Rattus norvegicus: one gene and its partners. The main gene of each other region encodes a partner of the protein of the gene in region 2 in a complex. Links are inferred from orthologs where the notes say so. Each region holds a gene or a part of one and is shown on either strand. Other genes may lie near its edges.

The links.
Region 1: Fnip1 (region 2) and Lamtor3 share a complex: the UniProt entries of both Homo sapiens proteins name them as parts of the lysosomal folliculin complex. The link is inferred for Rattus norvegicus from reciprocal best matches to the Homo sapiens genes FNIP1 and LAMTOR3.
Region 3: Fnip1 (region 2) and Lamtor4 share a complex: the UniProt entries of both Homo sapiens proteins name them as parts of the lysosomal folliculin complex. The link is inferred for Rattus norvegicus from reciprocal best matches to the Homo sapiens genes FNIP1 and LAMTOR4.

The regions. Positions count from the first base shown.
Region 1 is NC_086020.1:229,083,007-229,088,309, forward strand, and holds the start of Lamtor3 (ragulator complex protein LAMTOR3), read left to right. Parts: upstream 1-1,883; 5' UTR 1,884-1,964; exon of another isoform or gene 1,965-1,993; intron 1,994-2,181; 5' UTR 2,182-2,218; coding exon 2,219-2,227; intron 2,228-3,292; coding exon 3,293-3,327; intron 3,328-5,303. UniProt on the Homo sapiens protein: As part of the Ragulator complex it is involved in amino acid sensing and activation of mTORC1, a signaling complex promoting cell growth in response to growth factors, energy levels, and amino acids.
Region 2 is NC_086028.1:39,133,955-39,138,600, reverse strand, and holds part of Fnip1 (folliculin-interacting protein 1), read right to left. Parts: coding exon 4,597-4,646; intron 3,234-4,596; coding exon 1,817-3,233; intron 865-1,816; coding exon 696-864; intron 1-695. UniProt on the Homo sapiens protein: Binding partner of the GTPase-activating protein FLCN: involved in the cellular response to amino acid availability by regulating the non-canonical mTORC1 signaling cascade controlling the MiT/TFE factors TFEB and TFE3.
Region 3 is NC_086030.1:22,370,315-22,375,688, forward strand, and holds the start of Lamtor4 (ragulator complex protein LAMTOR4), read left to right. Parts: upstream 1-1,954; 5' UTR 1,955-2,023; coding exon 2,024-2,026; intron 2,027-2,465; coding exon 2,466-2,546; intron 2,547-5,033; coding exon 5,034-5,151; intron 5,152-5,374. UniProt on the Homo sapiens protein: As part of the Ragulator complex it is involved in amino acid sensing and activation of mTORC1, a signaling complex promoting cell growth in response to growth factors, energy levels, and amino acids.

The DNA.
Region 1 (5,303 bases), on a different chromosome or scaffold from region 2:
TTGAGACAAGAATCTCACTATGTAGCTCTCACTATCCTGGAACTCACTATGTAGACCAGGATAGCCTCCAACTCAGAGATCAGCCTGCATCTGCCTCCCAAGGCATGCACCACCATGCCCAGCATATTATCCTCTTGAAATGCTCATTCATTCATTCATTCATTCAAAAAAATGTATGAATCCCTCCTGTGTCCCCAGTAATGAACTAGGAGCTGGGAATTATTCACGAATTAAGACCAAGGGTAAATTTAATCAAGAGAACATTATTGTCCAGGAAATGAATGTTTTAATTTTGATAAACATGAGAGGATCACAAACTACCCATTTATCTATTGATATCTATCTTTAACATTTACCTATTAATACTTATCTATTTATTAACATTTATCTATTTATCTATTAACAGTTATCTAGAGTACCTTCACTATTCTGGAAACATCTAGGAAGACTTCACGGAGAAACTAAACTTAAGCTAAAATCCAAAGGATGAAATAAGAGTGGGGCTGAGACACTAGAGGACAACTTCATGCAGTGTGGGACAATCGATGTTATCGAAAACACGCTGACTCACACGGCTGAGCTGGCCTGTACGAGATCAAGGCAGCCAATATTCTAGCATGTAGTGGGAATGGTTCATGGGCCTACCTATAATGAGGAGCTGTGGACAATTGACGGCTTCTGAGAGAGGGACTGTCAGTGTTCTTTAAGGGTGGCCCCTGGTAGGTTGACCATGACCTATTGGATAGTCCCACAGGCCCAGGAGTAGTTAGATGATCAGCACAAACTGGACTTGATGGGTTATTGGGATGGGTTATGGGGGTGAACCCAAAGTTTGGAGGGTACAAATATGGGGGTGAACCTGGGAGGAGTTAGGGCAGGGGTAAATATGATCAAAATATATTTCATGAAATTCTCAAAGAATAAAAGTGTTAAAACTTTATGGGAATGAAAAGAAACTTGTGTAATGATTTAGTAGAGGAATTCCCAAGTATGGGCTCCCATACAGCTGACATTTTCTTTAATGGTACACACAAGGTAAGAGCTAATCTGCAGCAAAACCACCATCTTCAATCCCCCCCCCCCCCCGAGCTCACGCAGCCACTGGGGAATATTTAGATCCCAGATGATTTTCGTTTGTCCTGGGGGTTTTCTACAGGAGTCTCCTAAGCGGACTACTGTGCCGCCCTCTACCACAAAGAATGTTCGTGGTGTCACAAAGTGTCAGTGGTGGGAAACACCAGGCCAAAGCAAGTGGAGAAGCCTTCCTTTTGCTAAGCATTCTTGCCTTCCCCTTACAGTAGGCTTTCTTGAATGTACAAACATCAACAAAAGATATAGACAGTTTTTTACAAAGCTACAACAAAAGCAGGTCCTAGAGCCAAAGCAGGCAGCCCAGTGCATGCATGTTCAAAACAGACTTGACAAACGAGCCCATAGGTCCATGGCTCCTGCACTTCTAGGTAAAAACTGTAAGAAAAGAGCATGTAGGGTAGCACCCTCAGGAAACTGACTTGTAGGTTGGGTCATCTAGGGATCTGGGCCTTCTAAGTAGGCTTTTCAGTTCGTGCTTCTCAAAGGTCTTCATTCACAAAAAGATTTACATAATGGGTCTGGGAAAGGTGTATGCATACTCCGCACAGGACCGTCTTCCTTTGTAGGTGTGTTCAGTAGAAATTAAGGCGCAGGGACCTCAGACGCTTGATTAGCGGCTTCGGGTGCAGGGCGCAGCGCGCAGGCGCAGGAAAACTCCGAAGGGGCGGGGGGGGGCGGAGCTGCCGCGCGCGCAGTTTCCGCTGGGTCTCCCCGGAAGTTCCGAATCACCAGTACTGGAGGGTGCAGCAAGTGCTTCCTGGATCGCCACGGAGGTCACGAGTAATGTGACAGCGACTTGACAGGCAGCTTCAGAGAAGCGACTGAACTGCGGGAACACCGGGGCAGGTGGAGCGCGCGTTGCGTCTGCAGAGGTCGCCCCTTCTCTCAGCTCCGGGACAGGGTGGGTGGGGAGAGGTGGGCCGTCCGGGCTGGCCACCGGGCAGGGTCCTGGGGACCTCCCCACCCCCTTGACGGAGATCCAGAACTCTCGCTTGGCCCTGGCGAGGGTGGACCTCGTGATGCTGGCTGGGGCTGGGGAGGGTGAATAACCCCCAGGTGCGGGGGGAGTCACGGAAGTTTTCCTTCCAGGAGTGGAGACTGATTCTGCGAGAGAAAGGGGTTCATCATGGCGGATGTGAGTTGACACCCCTTCCCAAGAAAAATGGGGATGTGGGAGGTTTGCATGAGGCTTCTGAGAGGAAGCTAGAATTTTGTTCCGTCCTTAGCCTCTCCCCTCTTCCCGGATCCGGATCCGTAGTAAGGACTTGCAGGGACCTTAGTTTCTATCAGGAACGGTTGTGGTGGGGCACTCTTAACCCGAGAGAACTGTACTCTTCCCACCTCCTAATCCTATTGGAGCATACATGAACTCTGTGTGGGTAACTTCGGAAATTCTAAAGGATGACTGACTGCCCTTCCAGTCAGTACCTGATCCAGAGGACAGTGCTCTGAATACTTTCCTACCAAATAAATGCTTAGTGTCTCATTAGACTCAGCATTGCAATCTAAAAGGATTTCTAAAGGGTGCCCCTTTCGCAACCTGTATTCCGTTTCTGTGTGTCTGTTTAAGACGAGAGCAAAAGTTCATGGTGGTAACATGGGAGAGGATACTCATTTAGGTTTGTAGATAAAGGTTCAAAACAGGACACATTTAGACTGGAGGTCATAGTTATGCTTGTTGGCCAGGAATATTTCTAGATGCATGTATAATGAGAGAAGGTGGCTTTCTGTTCTCTTAGTCCTTACCACGTTCTCTGATAAATCTCCACATTGTCATTATCTTTGTCAAGAAACTGGATATTAAAGTAGTTTATCTGAATTAGGATCATTAAAAACAATCGTGGAAGATCAGTACGGACATAGGAAGAGATTTATAGACTATTCCTAAGGGGACACAGTAGCATCAGGATGTAAATTATTAAGAAACACATGGTCTCATTTTATAGTAAATAATGTATTTGTGTTTCCCAATTCCAAGTACACCAACATATATACCTTATGAAATTTGATTATCCCTGTATACATGTAAGGAAACATACAATGGATCTGAGGCCTGGAAAAAGGTTAATTAACTTCTCCCAAGTTATACAAGTAAAAGATGAAATGCCAGTTACAAATGATGACCTCATGTCCTTTGGGGTATGGACAGGGCTAGAAAAGCACACAGTAATATGATCTTTAAAAAATTATTCTCTTTCAGGATCTAAAGCGATTCCTATACAAAAAGTTGCCAAGGTAAGAAATTACTAATTTGTTGCTGAATAAATTCTGCGCAACATGTTAATCTTACAAAGTGTTTTGTTTCTCCTTTTTAAATTAATATTTTATAATTGTCATGGTAATTATTTGCCACGTTTTAATACAAACTAACCCCAAGTATCGTAAGTAATGACTAGTTTCTAGATAGATAACTCGAAGCCCAGGCTGTTAAATGACTTGTGTATGGTTCAACAGCAGATAGGTACTAGGGACAGAACTTAGATTTCTTGCCACTTTGAATTATTTTTAAACACACTATCATTGGTGTTTATTAGATTATTTTTTAAAGTTCTTAAGTAAATTTAAGAAAAAAAGCTTAAGACTTGCCATTATTTTCAAGTCTATTTTACTATTGGGACCTAATTGCTGGTCAACATAATCCAAAAATAGTTGGCTCAGAAAACAGTTCCCTACCTGTTTTTAGGTGCCGTTCTTACAAAGGCCTTAACAGGTGGTAACGTTAGCAGATTGCTTTTACGTATTTTACTGATCCAAAGGACTTTCTCACTTGAACTCATTGAAGCTCATTCTTAGTTTAATGTGAAAACAAAAAACAAAAAAAAAAAAAAACGATGTCTTTGTTGACAAGCACGTCTTTTGTCTACATCCACATCTTTCTACAAATAACTCAGAACTCGTAATCATTAAGGATGAGCAAGGAAGGTAGGGAAGAATGCCCGAGTCTTTGTTTTCACATTCCAGAACAAAGCAGCAGATTGGATTGAACAACCTTTGAGGTCATCAAGCAGAATATTCTATGAATATTTTTCTATTTGTGGAATAATATAAAAGTTATTTATATTATTTTGTCTAATCTTCCGAGTCTAAAGTTATAAGCGCTTGTGTGCAGATATCAGTTTACCTCTGTAGGTTGAAAAAATTAACACTGGTTTCAAGTTGCTTGAATTGTTGGATGTATGGCTTTTGCTTTGATTGTAGATCAGTGGAAATTAATAAGTGTGTTCTGGTTGTGATCTATATGGTGTATATAGAAAACACCATTGGCATGTTAAGTGAGACAGTGATAATTATCGATTTTATGTTAATGAAATCTTTAATTAATTTAAATTAATGTAATTAAATTTAATTTTAATTCTTTTTCTCATAATAAAATGGCAAATTATAGAGACCAGCTGCTGGTTCTGTTTTCACACAAATGGCCAACATGACAGGCAGTGACAGCTTTGCATGCTAACTAATGAATGGCAATAGAAACAGTGGTACAGGCTAAAACCATGCAGGAGAGGGTTAGTAACTAGTGGGGGAAATAATACTTGTTTTTCTGACCTTATAACATTTCAAAACATTAAAACTTTTCTCGTTATTGATTACTAATGCTTGGGGGACTGCAGGCTGCCCTCGTGTGCTCTCTAAAGCCATGATAAAACACTGACGGAAAGCAACATGAGGAGAAAGAGTATTGAATCTTACAGATTACAGTTTATCGCGGAAGGACAGGGCAGGATCTGAAGCAGAAGCCACGGAGGAATGCTGCCTGCTGGCTGCCTCCACATGGCCTGCTCAGTGTGTTTTTTTTATACAACTCAACACCACCTGCCTTGGGTGGTTCTACCCCAGGGGCCTGGGACCTCCTTCATCAATCATAATCAAGAAAATGCCCTGCAGACTTACCTGCAGGCCAGTCTCATGGAGGAGGCATGCTCTGAATTGAGGTTCTCTCTTCCCAGATGACTCCACCTTGTGTCATCAACTTGACCAAAACCTAACCATCACATAAGCATGATAACTGGCATAGCATTCCAAAACATTAAAAAACATTGCAAAAGTGAGCTGGGCACGTAATTCCAGCATTCGGAATTGAAAGAAGTTCAAAGCCAGCCTGGGCTTCATGAGACCAACAACAGGACCGTTAGATAGCTCTGTGGTTAAAGGCTGATATGGATGCTATGGCATGCATGGTTGACGTATAGAACCACCCCACACATATAATA
Region 2 (4,646 bases):
TCTAGTATAAGGAGCAAGATAATACCATCTTCTGTCTCCCTTTCTTTCCATGCACCACTGTACAGATTTGAACCTATATAATCAAGACTGGAATGCAAAACCTAACACTGTTCACTGATGGCATGAACTATGTGTAAGAACACCAAGGATTTAATATGAAAAACTAGCACAACAGTTCAGAGCTCAGGAAAGCTACAGAATAAACGATCTCACACACACGATCAGTTCTGTTTCTGTATATAAGCAATCATCTGACAAGGGAATTAAATACTCTCTTGGAAACCTCAAAAAAATTTTTTTTTCCATGTGGAGAGGTTTAATGAGAGAAGAGTAGAAGAAAGGTGGCCGGCCATGAGTACGTGGTGGGAGTGGGGAAGGGGGCAAGAACAGAGGAGAACAAAGAGTAAGAGAGAAGTAAGAGGGGAGCGGAAACCTCAAATTTTTGATAGTATGAGTATCTAAAATATTTTTTATATTTCAAATTTCCATTTGGGAGATTCCTAGATTTAATTCTTGTTTGCACAATGATAAATACAAAGACATAGATGCTATATATGAAGTGACAATTCAGAGAATAATAACTATCTTATATGATCACAGCTTGGCTAAAACTAAAATACCAGGCAGGATCTGGGTTGTAACAGAATAGTAACAGTTTGCTTTAAATATACTCAGGTTTTTTGAAGATATCTCACCTGCACAGCATGGGACAAATCTGATGCCAGGCACTGACGGAGCCTCTCATCACTCCCAATTCCTTGAAGAACAAAGTCAGGAACATAAGATGAGCAGTAGCCACCCAGCAAGGATCTTCCAAAGTTGGCAATGTTGGGCTGAACAGCACTCACTTCAATCAACTTTGACCTAGAAGAAAGATGACCAAAGGAAGGAAAGAAAGAAAGAAAGAAATATACTAAGTAATAAACATCTTTTACCAGTGGCGAAAGATGGGGTGGGGAAGGTTATAAATCTACTAATCTGTCTTTCCAGTACCCTTGCTATTTATACACCATATAAGGAATAAAGTTAGCCTTATATAAAAAAGTGGCCCAAGGTCTAAAACAAACAACAAAATACTGTTCTCTCTTGGAGGAGGTCTCAAGAACAGCATGACTCGTCTATACTTAGAAGGCCGTACCTTACAAATATTTGAAACATGTTCCTAATACAATCGGACTATGAAAACCAGTGTGTAAAGCAAAGAAAGTAGCTAAAAATCTGGCTCTGTACGATATCAAATATCAAATATCAAAGCAGTGATATTTTCCTTGCATACTTGACCTTAAATATACATTCCCTCTTTGTGCTGGCTAAATTTATTTATTCCCTACTACCTGAAAGATTCCCCCTAAGTGTCAGGCTTGTCATAGGTCACTTTGGGAATGTGTATGTACATAATTCACTCCAAAATGGTTTGAAAACTAAGAAAAGACCAACTTCCTACATTTCACTTCTTTATTGTCTCTGATGCCTCCACAGGGGATCATACGGAGAATAATCTTGAATTCTCATTCTGAGTAAAAGAATTTGACCAGTAAAACAACATTAAAAATTATCTTATTAATCATTACTTTGGGTATAATTGCATGAAGTCAGTGTGCAACCCTTGGGAGTCAACTCTCTCCTTCTGAAGCGGTGGATTTCAGGACTCAAACCTAGATTATCTGGCCCATACGGCAGGTGCTTTTTACTGCAGAGCCATCTTGGAGCCGTAACCTCTTTAAAGTTAGATGCTCCCAATCTCTGGAGACTGGCTAAACCAAAGAATATTACACGCTTCTGCAGGGTCTGGTTCAGGAGAAAACTTTCTACTCACCCAGGGAAAGGTATCTCATCCTCTTCTGCCCAATCTTCCTGATCCCCTCCACAGTAACTGCCAACTTGTCTTCTTATGTCAGGACCTGTGTCTTCACTCTCACTATCTCCAAGGGCACTATCTGAACTTTCATTTCTTGGAATGTCCCATTCAGTTCCTACAGCAATTTTTTTGTCTGAACTCTCTTTATCCCCATGGGGGACAAGAATAGAGAGGGCATCTCTCTGGTCCTGCTGAGGAAAGCAGGCATTACACGAATCTTGATGAACTGTTTCTATACATTTACAAAGTTCATTTTGCTGTTTGTTATCTTTTGTATACAATCTTTTTGGATACTCCAACATACAGCAATACTCTTTACTATCTGTACTTGTTTTAACTGGAACATCATCAATAGTCCTGGTTTCAATCGAATCATCATTAAAATATTCATCAAAGAGGCTCATGCTTTCTGGATCTGAATGACTCCAACAAGGAAGCTCACAGGACTCTCCAGAAACCATGTTATGTGTGCCAGAGCCTCCAGATTGGTCCTTAGTGATTTTATTTTCTTGATGCTTCTCAGTCACTCCTCTGTCTTCCTTCAGTGGTTTGCTATGATGTCTGTTAATCTGATCCACCACAGCCTGACTCCGAAGTTCAGTATCTGAATCAGGTGACATAGAATCTCCAATCAAGAAAGTAACCTTTGTCTGAGTTAACTCACAGGAAAATGCACTGGGCACAGTCTTATCTGGAGGTTTCTTTTCTACAACTATCCCTGTAGGTCTCATCGCTGTGCCTGTTTGATTATCTGAATCCAGCAATTCCTTACTCTGCCAGGATTCTTCTGTTGGCTCCAAGCCTGTCTCTGACAACACACATTTGTCTGCTGGAGCAGACCCTGTACAAACAATTGTCTCTAACTTGGTGTCAAGACGAGCTCTTAATTTATCTCTGTACCGCTGAACATCAGTAGCATTTTCTTCTTGGCAGTCAGGAGGAGGAATCTTTTGGCATTCATCTGAAATTCCCAGCAATTCCTTAGAGTTGTCTTGAATATCTTCTCTCTCTAGTTGAGACACATTCTCTGTATTTTGCCCAAGGAGTGGATGGCTGCAATATTTACAGTTACAGTTGGAAGTTCCTGTCTCTTCTGACTCTTTAAAGAGCAAGCTGCTTTTGTTCCTATGCACTGTGATCAGCACATACTCAGATTCCTCTACTTCCCCCTTTTCTAAAGTGGTAGTAATCACTGTGCCTGGCATAACAATGGCTTCGTCTTCTCCATTTTCTAAAAGATGGGTTTCTTGAAGTTCAGAGCATCTGATAAAGTAAGTAAGAAAATAAAGCAGTCTCTGGACCAGGTCTTGTCGTTTGCCAACTACTACAGTTCTTGCTAACCGTACTGGAGACCCAATAGCGCCATACAAATCTCCTGCAATGAAAAGGATAAGAAACACAGCTAAACAGTCTTTCGATCTTGAGAAATCTCCTCATACACGTTCATAATTTACTCTCAAGTACTTTACAAGATGGCTGATTATTCAGGAAAGTAGGATGAGTGGTTTTACTCAGGGAGAAAGGTGAAGAGAGGGGTTTTTTTAGCTGTGTTTCTAAACAGCTGGTGTGGTTTTAAAACCTCAAAGAGCTAGTTTTCAAAGTCAAACTTAAAAATAAGAAAATTCTCTACACTAAGTGTCACACAAAGGAACTTTATCTAGGTGAAGTCTGTTATAAAGGAGGCCATAGTCAAATGTAGAAAGGAAAAAACACAGTAACTGCTACAGGAAGAGGAGAGGGACAGTGGTGGCATAGAGTGCAGCAGGAGTTGTGTTTTTGTATTTTTTTTTTATGGGTCAAATTAAACCTTTAACTCAAATGCAAAACAAAAACTTATAAATGAAAACAAATACATCAATATAAAGCCCTTTTACAAATTTTCAATATACTTATTTAAAAACCTTTACTTTCATGTTATAAAACAGCCATATTTTTGAAAGAATGAACATAAATCTTGAGTGAATATATGCTGCAGACAGAATTGTGATACATTTTTTCATCTGGCTAATAAACTGGCTAGAATATGACAACATCATTCTAACATAATCCTCCCAATTCTCACTAAACATCCAATGAACTGAAACGGCTTTGGCCTGGTGAGTCTGTCATGGTAGGTTCCACCTGACTCTCCCCACATCATCTCCTTAAACTTTCCTTGTGTGGCTGTTTTCTAAAGTCCTCACCTAAACTTCAATGCACACTAGCTTAATACTCTAATGGTCAGAATCCCTAACTGCACGGTGCTCATCTTCCTTATCTCTGCTATTGTCAAGTTTCTCGGCCAGGTGTACCCAACAGTGCAAAGACTGACTCCCCCTCCTAGGCTACCACTCATCTTTCATTTCACATAACTTATCAATTTGCATTTCCATTATTGTAAAAAATACATGCTGCCTATAGTATTATGACTGTAAATCTTTTGAAACAATGATAAAATTATTCATCCATCTTTATATCCTCTTATATACTCTTTGCACAACCCTTAGATACAGAATTTGAAGTTGATTTCATATATCAAAGTTAACGTAGCTGTAGTGCACTCCTTCTACTCCACCCACAGTTCTTTAGCTGTAAGGAATGTGAGCAGGCAGAAGACAACAGGACAATTTAGCAGACAAGAAGGGGCAAGTATCAGAGACACTCTAGAATAAAACTGACAAAAAGACTGTATTTAGTTAGTTTTTGCTTAAAAATGAGTTTTAAGTTTATACACAGTATATGATGTTCAGACTACATACCAAGTTGTGCCCAAAGAGGGTTATATGGATGAGTCTTTGCCAACATGCCC
Region 3 (5,374 bases), on a different chromosome or scaffold from region 2:
GCACTTGGGAGGTGGAAACAGGAGCGCCAGGAACTCAAGGTCAGCCTAAGTTAGATGAAGTTCTGCCTCAAACAAGACAAAACAAACAAAACAAAACCATGTGATTCCTCAGCATCATGGGTATCTAAGGCCTGGGAGGGCCTGAATGTTTAGCATCTTTGAACAGCTTTCTCTTCACAGTCTCTGCCAATTTAAAATTTCTTTCAAGACCACCCCACTAGTTAGCTTAAAATAGCCTCTAACTCAAGTTCCTTCCACTTCCCTCCCAGCTTTGGGATTATAGGTATGCATCACCACAGCCACTTAAGTTTAAATTGTATATTGTAATTATACTTTTTTATATTTTCATTTTTATGGTTTTGGTTTTTCAGTACAGGGTTTCCTCTGTGTAGCCCTGGCTGTCCTGGAACTCACTCTGTAGACCAGGCCGGCCTTGAACTCAAGAGATCTGCCTGCCTCTGCCTCCCAAAAGACAAGATTAAAGCTATGTACCACCACTTCTTGGCTTTTTATATCTATTTTTAATGTGTGTGTGTGTGTGTGTGTGTGTGTGTGTGTGTGTGTGTGTCCATGTGTACCGTAGCTCACAAGTGTAGGTTTGAGAACTATTTGTGGGGTTGGTTGTTTCCTTTAACAATGTGGGACTCAGTGATCAAACTCAGGTTATTAGGCTTGGCGGCAAGCACCTTTGCCTGCTGAGCCTCTTTGCTGGCCCTACTTCAAAATTGTTGCCATGTTGAATTCCGGGCCTGGGCATGCTGGGCAAGTGTTCAAACTCAGACCCATGCCTCATTTTTAAAGACATGCATTTTCTCTAATTAGCTGCTTCTCCTAAACCAAGACGATTTGGGGTGGAGGACTTTCTTTCTTGAGCTATGATTAGTGCTGGGGATACAGACCAGATGGAGAGCTCTTACCCAGCATGCGCAAGGCCCTTACTTTGCTTCTCGGCACTGAAAATAAGGGGGGGGGGGGGGAGGGTTATATAATTCACAGATCTTGAAACATTTTAATTCAAAGTGTACAACCTATGTCACAGTCACAAAGATAGGCAGACTTCAATACGAATCCCAAAAAGTTTAAATCACACGTGCCACTCCCCCCCCCCCCTTAATAGGCACTTCCTATTTTCTCTTGCCTCACTACCGACCACTAACTGCTTTCACGTTTTTCTGGATTTGCCAGAAGTGTATGTGTTTTAGTTAGGCTCCTGGTAGGTAGCTCAGGCTGGCACTGAACTCACTATTCAGTCCAATCTGGCCTGAACTTGAAACCCCCTTCCTTGGCTTCCCAGGATTTATACCAGTATTACAAGTATTCAGCGTCAGTCACAGCTAAGCATCTTACATAGATGGAACCACATAATATGTGGTCTTATGTGACTGCCCTTTCAAGCCAGTCCTTCTGGTTGATTCTGAGCCTCTAAAGGCTGAGTTGTCTCTGAAGCTATTCTTCTGGCTTGCTTTAACTTGCTTTCGAGATTCTCAAGTTGCTCTTGGTGTCAGGACGTTTTTCCCTTGTATTGATAATATACTACAGTGTGCATATATACACCAAATTTGATTTACCCATTCATATTTGGGTCGTATACTAAGGCAGAAAATTAACACGTGAACAGTTTTTCATGTGTAAACCATCGTCATTCACATTAACTTCTCTTTTCAGGTTGAACCGTGACACCTAACGGGGAAAGCTCTTTACAACACTAGACTGCATTACTTTCTCCTTGGAAGCCTAGGCGCACGCGCACGTTCGTGAGGAGGTGGAGAGGTGCCCCGCCCCTCGCTCAATAACTCTTCAGATAATCTCGCAGGCGAATCCTGAGTGGCGAGGAAATGCAACCAATCCACGAATGTGTCCGGAAAGCGGCGCTCCGCAGTGGTTGATAAAGTCTGATGACGTACGCACCATCCAATGCGCAAGCGAAGGGCTGGGCTAGAGTCAGCTGGTGAACCACCTGACCGGAGCCTGGAGCCGGAAGCTACCTATCCGGTAGACAGCTCCCCCTGCACCTACGGCTGCCATGGTGAGTGAGGACGCATGCGCGGGCTTGTGCGCCTAGGGTTGCGCGTCCCTGTTCCCCAAACTTCGGTTACCCCCTTATGGCTTGCACTCCGCTGTCACCCCCAGTCCACCCTGGGACCGAAAGGAAACAGAGATGGAAGGGAGGCGACCGGGAGGGCTGGAGAAGGAAGGCTCCGCTACCGGGTGTTTTGCGGCCGGGAGTAGTTTTGATGGCACAAGGGGCGGGGCATAAGGGCACTGGAATGAGAAGGGGCTGTGAAGCTAGGAAGGTCTCCTGGGTCACCTGCCTGACAAGTGGAAGAGCTCAGGCGTCCAATAGTGACCATGGATGGAGACTCAGTGTTACAAGCCATTTAGAGGGTCTGAAAGGCTTATATCCAGGAGGGAGATGGGTTTACAAGGCTGTCATGGTTCTCACCTCTTGCCTCTTTACCCACTAGACTTCCGCACTGACCCAAGGGCTGGAACGAATCCCAGACCAGCTTGGCTACCTGGTGCTGAGCGAAGGTGCAGTGCTAGCGGTGCGTTGTGGGAAAGCGAGGCATGGGGTGGTGGCGGTGACGGGGTCCTTTGGGGACACACAACCCAGAAATCCCTTCAAATATTTCCCGCTTTCTCTCAGTTGTCTACTTTTGTCCTCTCTGTGGTTCCCTGCTTGCCATATTTAATGTTTGGATATATGGTATAAATGCTTATTTCCAAAAGGTTGGGGTTATAGCTCAGTCAGGAGAGTGAGTTACTTAGCACGTACAAAGCCTTCAGTTCAATTCCCAATACTGCACAAAACCAAACACAGAGGCACGTGATCTGTAGCCCCAGCACTTGGAAGGTGGAAACCGGCAGATTAGAAATTCAGGTTCATCTTTGGCTATGTATCAAGTCAAATCACAGTCTGGACCACATGTAACTCAGCCTCAAAAAACAAAAACCAAACTTTACCAAAGTCATTCAATTAGTTAGTTACTTGTAGTATGTTTTTATTTGGGATATCTTTAAAAAAGCCGAGGACAACCTTTGGGAGTGAGTTCTCCTCCTGCCATGCGGGTCCTGAGGATTGAAATCCGGTCCTTAGGCAAGCACTTTTATGCTCTGAGCCATTTCACCTGCCCCTAGAATTTTGGGGGGCGGGGGCAAGACTTCTCTAGAGGCAAGGATTGAGCTGAGCTGCTAAGACAGAAGGTTGTGAACGAGGAAGAGAATTCTCAGGGCTGGGAGCTGGACATACTTGCCTGAGTGTAACAGCGCCTGGTTGTGGTCTTGTGTTGAAACAGTTTGAAGAGGAAGGATGCTGTGGTAAGACTCTGATACTGAACTTCCTATGGCTAGCTTCAATATCTTTGGACAAATCTTGAGGGTTACTTAAAGGGTTTTGAAAACATAAATGTGACTCACAGAAATGGTGTAGCATGACTGTCCCAGGAGAGCCATCTAAGAGACTGGCCGGGTAGCAATGAGAAGTAAGGGCTATAGACATTGTATCTATTTTTTTAGTGTCTGCACATGTGTGTGCCCATGCATATGCTAAGACCAGTGTAGGACATTAGAGACCTCCTCTTACCCTTCTCTGCCTTATTCCTTGAGGCAGGGTCTCATACTGAACCTGGAGCTAGACTGGCAACACTGAGCAAGCCTTAGCAATCAACCTGCCTGTACACCCACAGTACTGGGATTCCAGGTGTGAGCATGGCCATGTAGGGTAGGGGATTTGAACTCAGGTCCTCTTGCTTGTACAGCAAGCGCTCTTATCCACTGAGCCATTGCCACAGCCCAGAGATCACATCTTAGAGGTATTAATATATGTTGGTAATAACTAGGTAAAGTACTTCTGCATGTACCTTACCTTTCTGATGTACTCATCCTGTAGGACTCTGAGCAGGGAAAACCAGAAAAGTACTGTGGTACCTGAACAAATAAGAAAGTAAAAAAGGAAGCTGACCAAGGAGGTAGCTAAAGGGAATTTTGATGGCCTGACTATAGACAGGAGATGAGTGAGGTCTGAGATGAGTGAGATGGACTGATAGCAGTTATAGTACATTTATTATGTAGGCACTGTTATAATATTCTCATTGTTTTCTCATGAAACTTCCACAAGCACAGAATATGGGTCCAATATACAGATGGAGAAACTGAGAGCAAAAGGAACTAAATCTAGTAAAGGGCCCATTTAGAATCAGTGGGAAGAGGGAGTAGAAGCAGTTTGTCCAGAGAAGTCTGGACTACTGTCTTCTCATTGACCCTAGAAGTAGCCAGAGGGAAAGCTTCAAAGACAAAGTAGGTGTTTCTGGTTCATAGCCTTCAGACAAGGACAAGTGGGAAGACTGGGGACAAGTGGAACCTTCAAAGATTGAGCAGTTAGCTTAGTGGTAGAACATCTTCCTAGAATCCTCTGTGAGGGGCTGAAGGCATGGGTCAGTAGTAGAACACTTGCCCAGGAGTCCCCCAGTGAGGGGCTGGGGGCGTGGCTCAGTGGTAGAGCCCCTGCCTAGAATCCCCCCAGTGAGGGGCTGGGGGTGTGGCTCAGTGGTACAGCCCCTGCCTAGAATCCCCCAGTGAGGGGCTGGGGGCGTGGCTCAGTGGGAGAGCCCCTGCCTAGAATCCCCCAGTGAGGGGCTGGGGGTGTGGCTCAGTGGTACAGCCCCTGCCTAGAATCCCCCAGTGAGGGGCTGAGGGCGTGGCTCAGTGGTACAGCCCCTGCCTAGAATCCCCCAGTGAGGGGCTGGGGGTGTGATAGATCACTTGGTAATCACACCCTAGGTTTTGATTTTCTGCATGGCTATCAGTAGAGTTGCAAAAGAAGCCTGGTGTCTCAGAATGAGAAACAAAATGGCACAAGGGAAGGCAGCACCATCATAAAGGGGTTTTAGGTAGGATTTTTCTGAAGCTGGGTGATTTGGGACTACAGACAAGGGAGACCATAACAAGTATAGGAAACAGAGGTCCTGTGCCTTGAATTTGTTCCCAACTCTGGCCTCTTTCTTTTGTTCCTGCCCCCCTTCACCCACATGCAGTCATCTGGGGATCTTGAGAACGATGAGCAGGCAGCCAGCGCCATCTCAGAACTGGTCAGCACAGCCTGTGGCTTCCGGCTGCACCATGGCACGAACATCCCTTTCAAGCGCCTGTCTGGTGAGCTCCTGCCTTTGTTGGGTGGTTGCTTCTAGAGACCTCTCTGCTCAGGGAAGGAATTCCTGGCTCCATTCCACTGACTCCCAGTTCCTCCTGGGGTTCCTGGTTCAACTACTGCCTTCATATAGGTTCCTCTAGGACGAGTACGGAGCAGTAAGAACGAGAAGAGGTTTGCACAGCTGCCTGACCTCTGTGATCTACATAATTGCTTTGTCCCATCCCA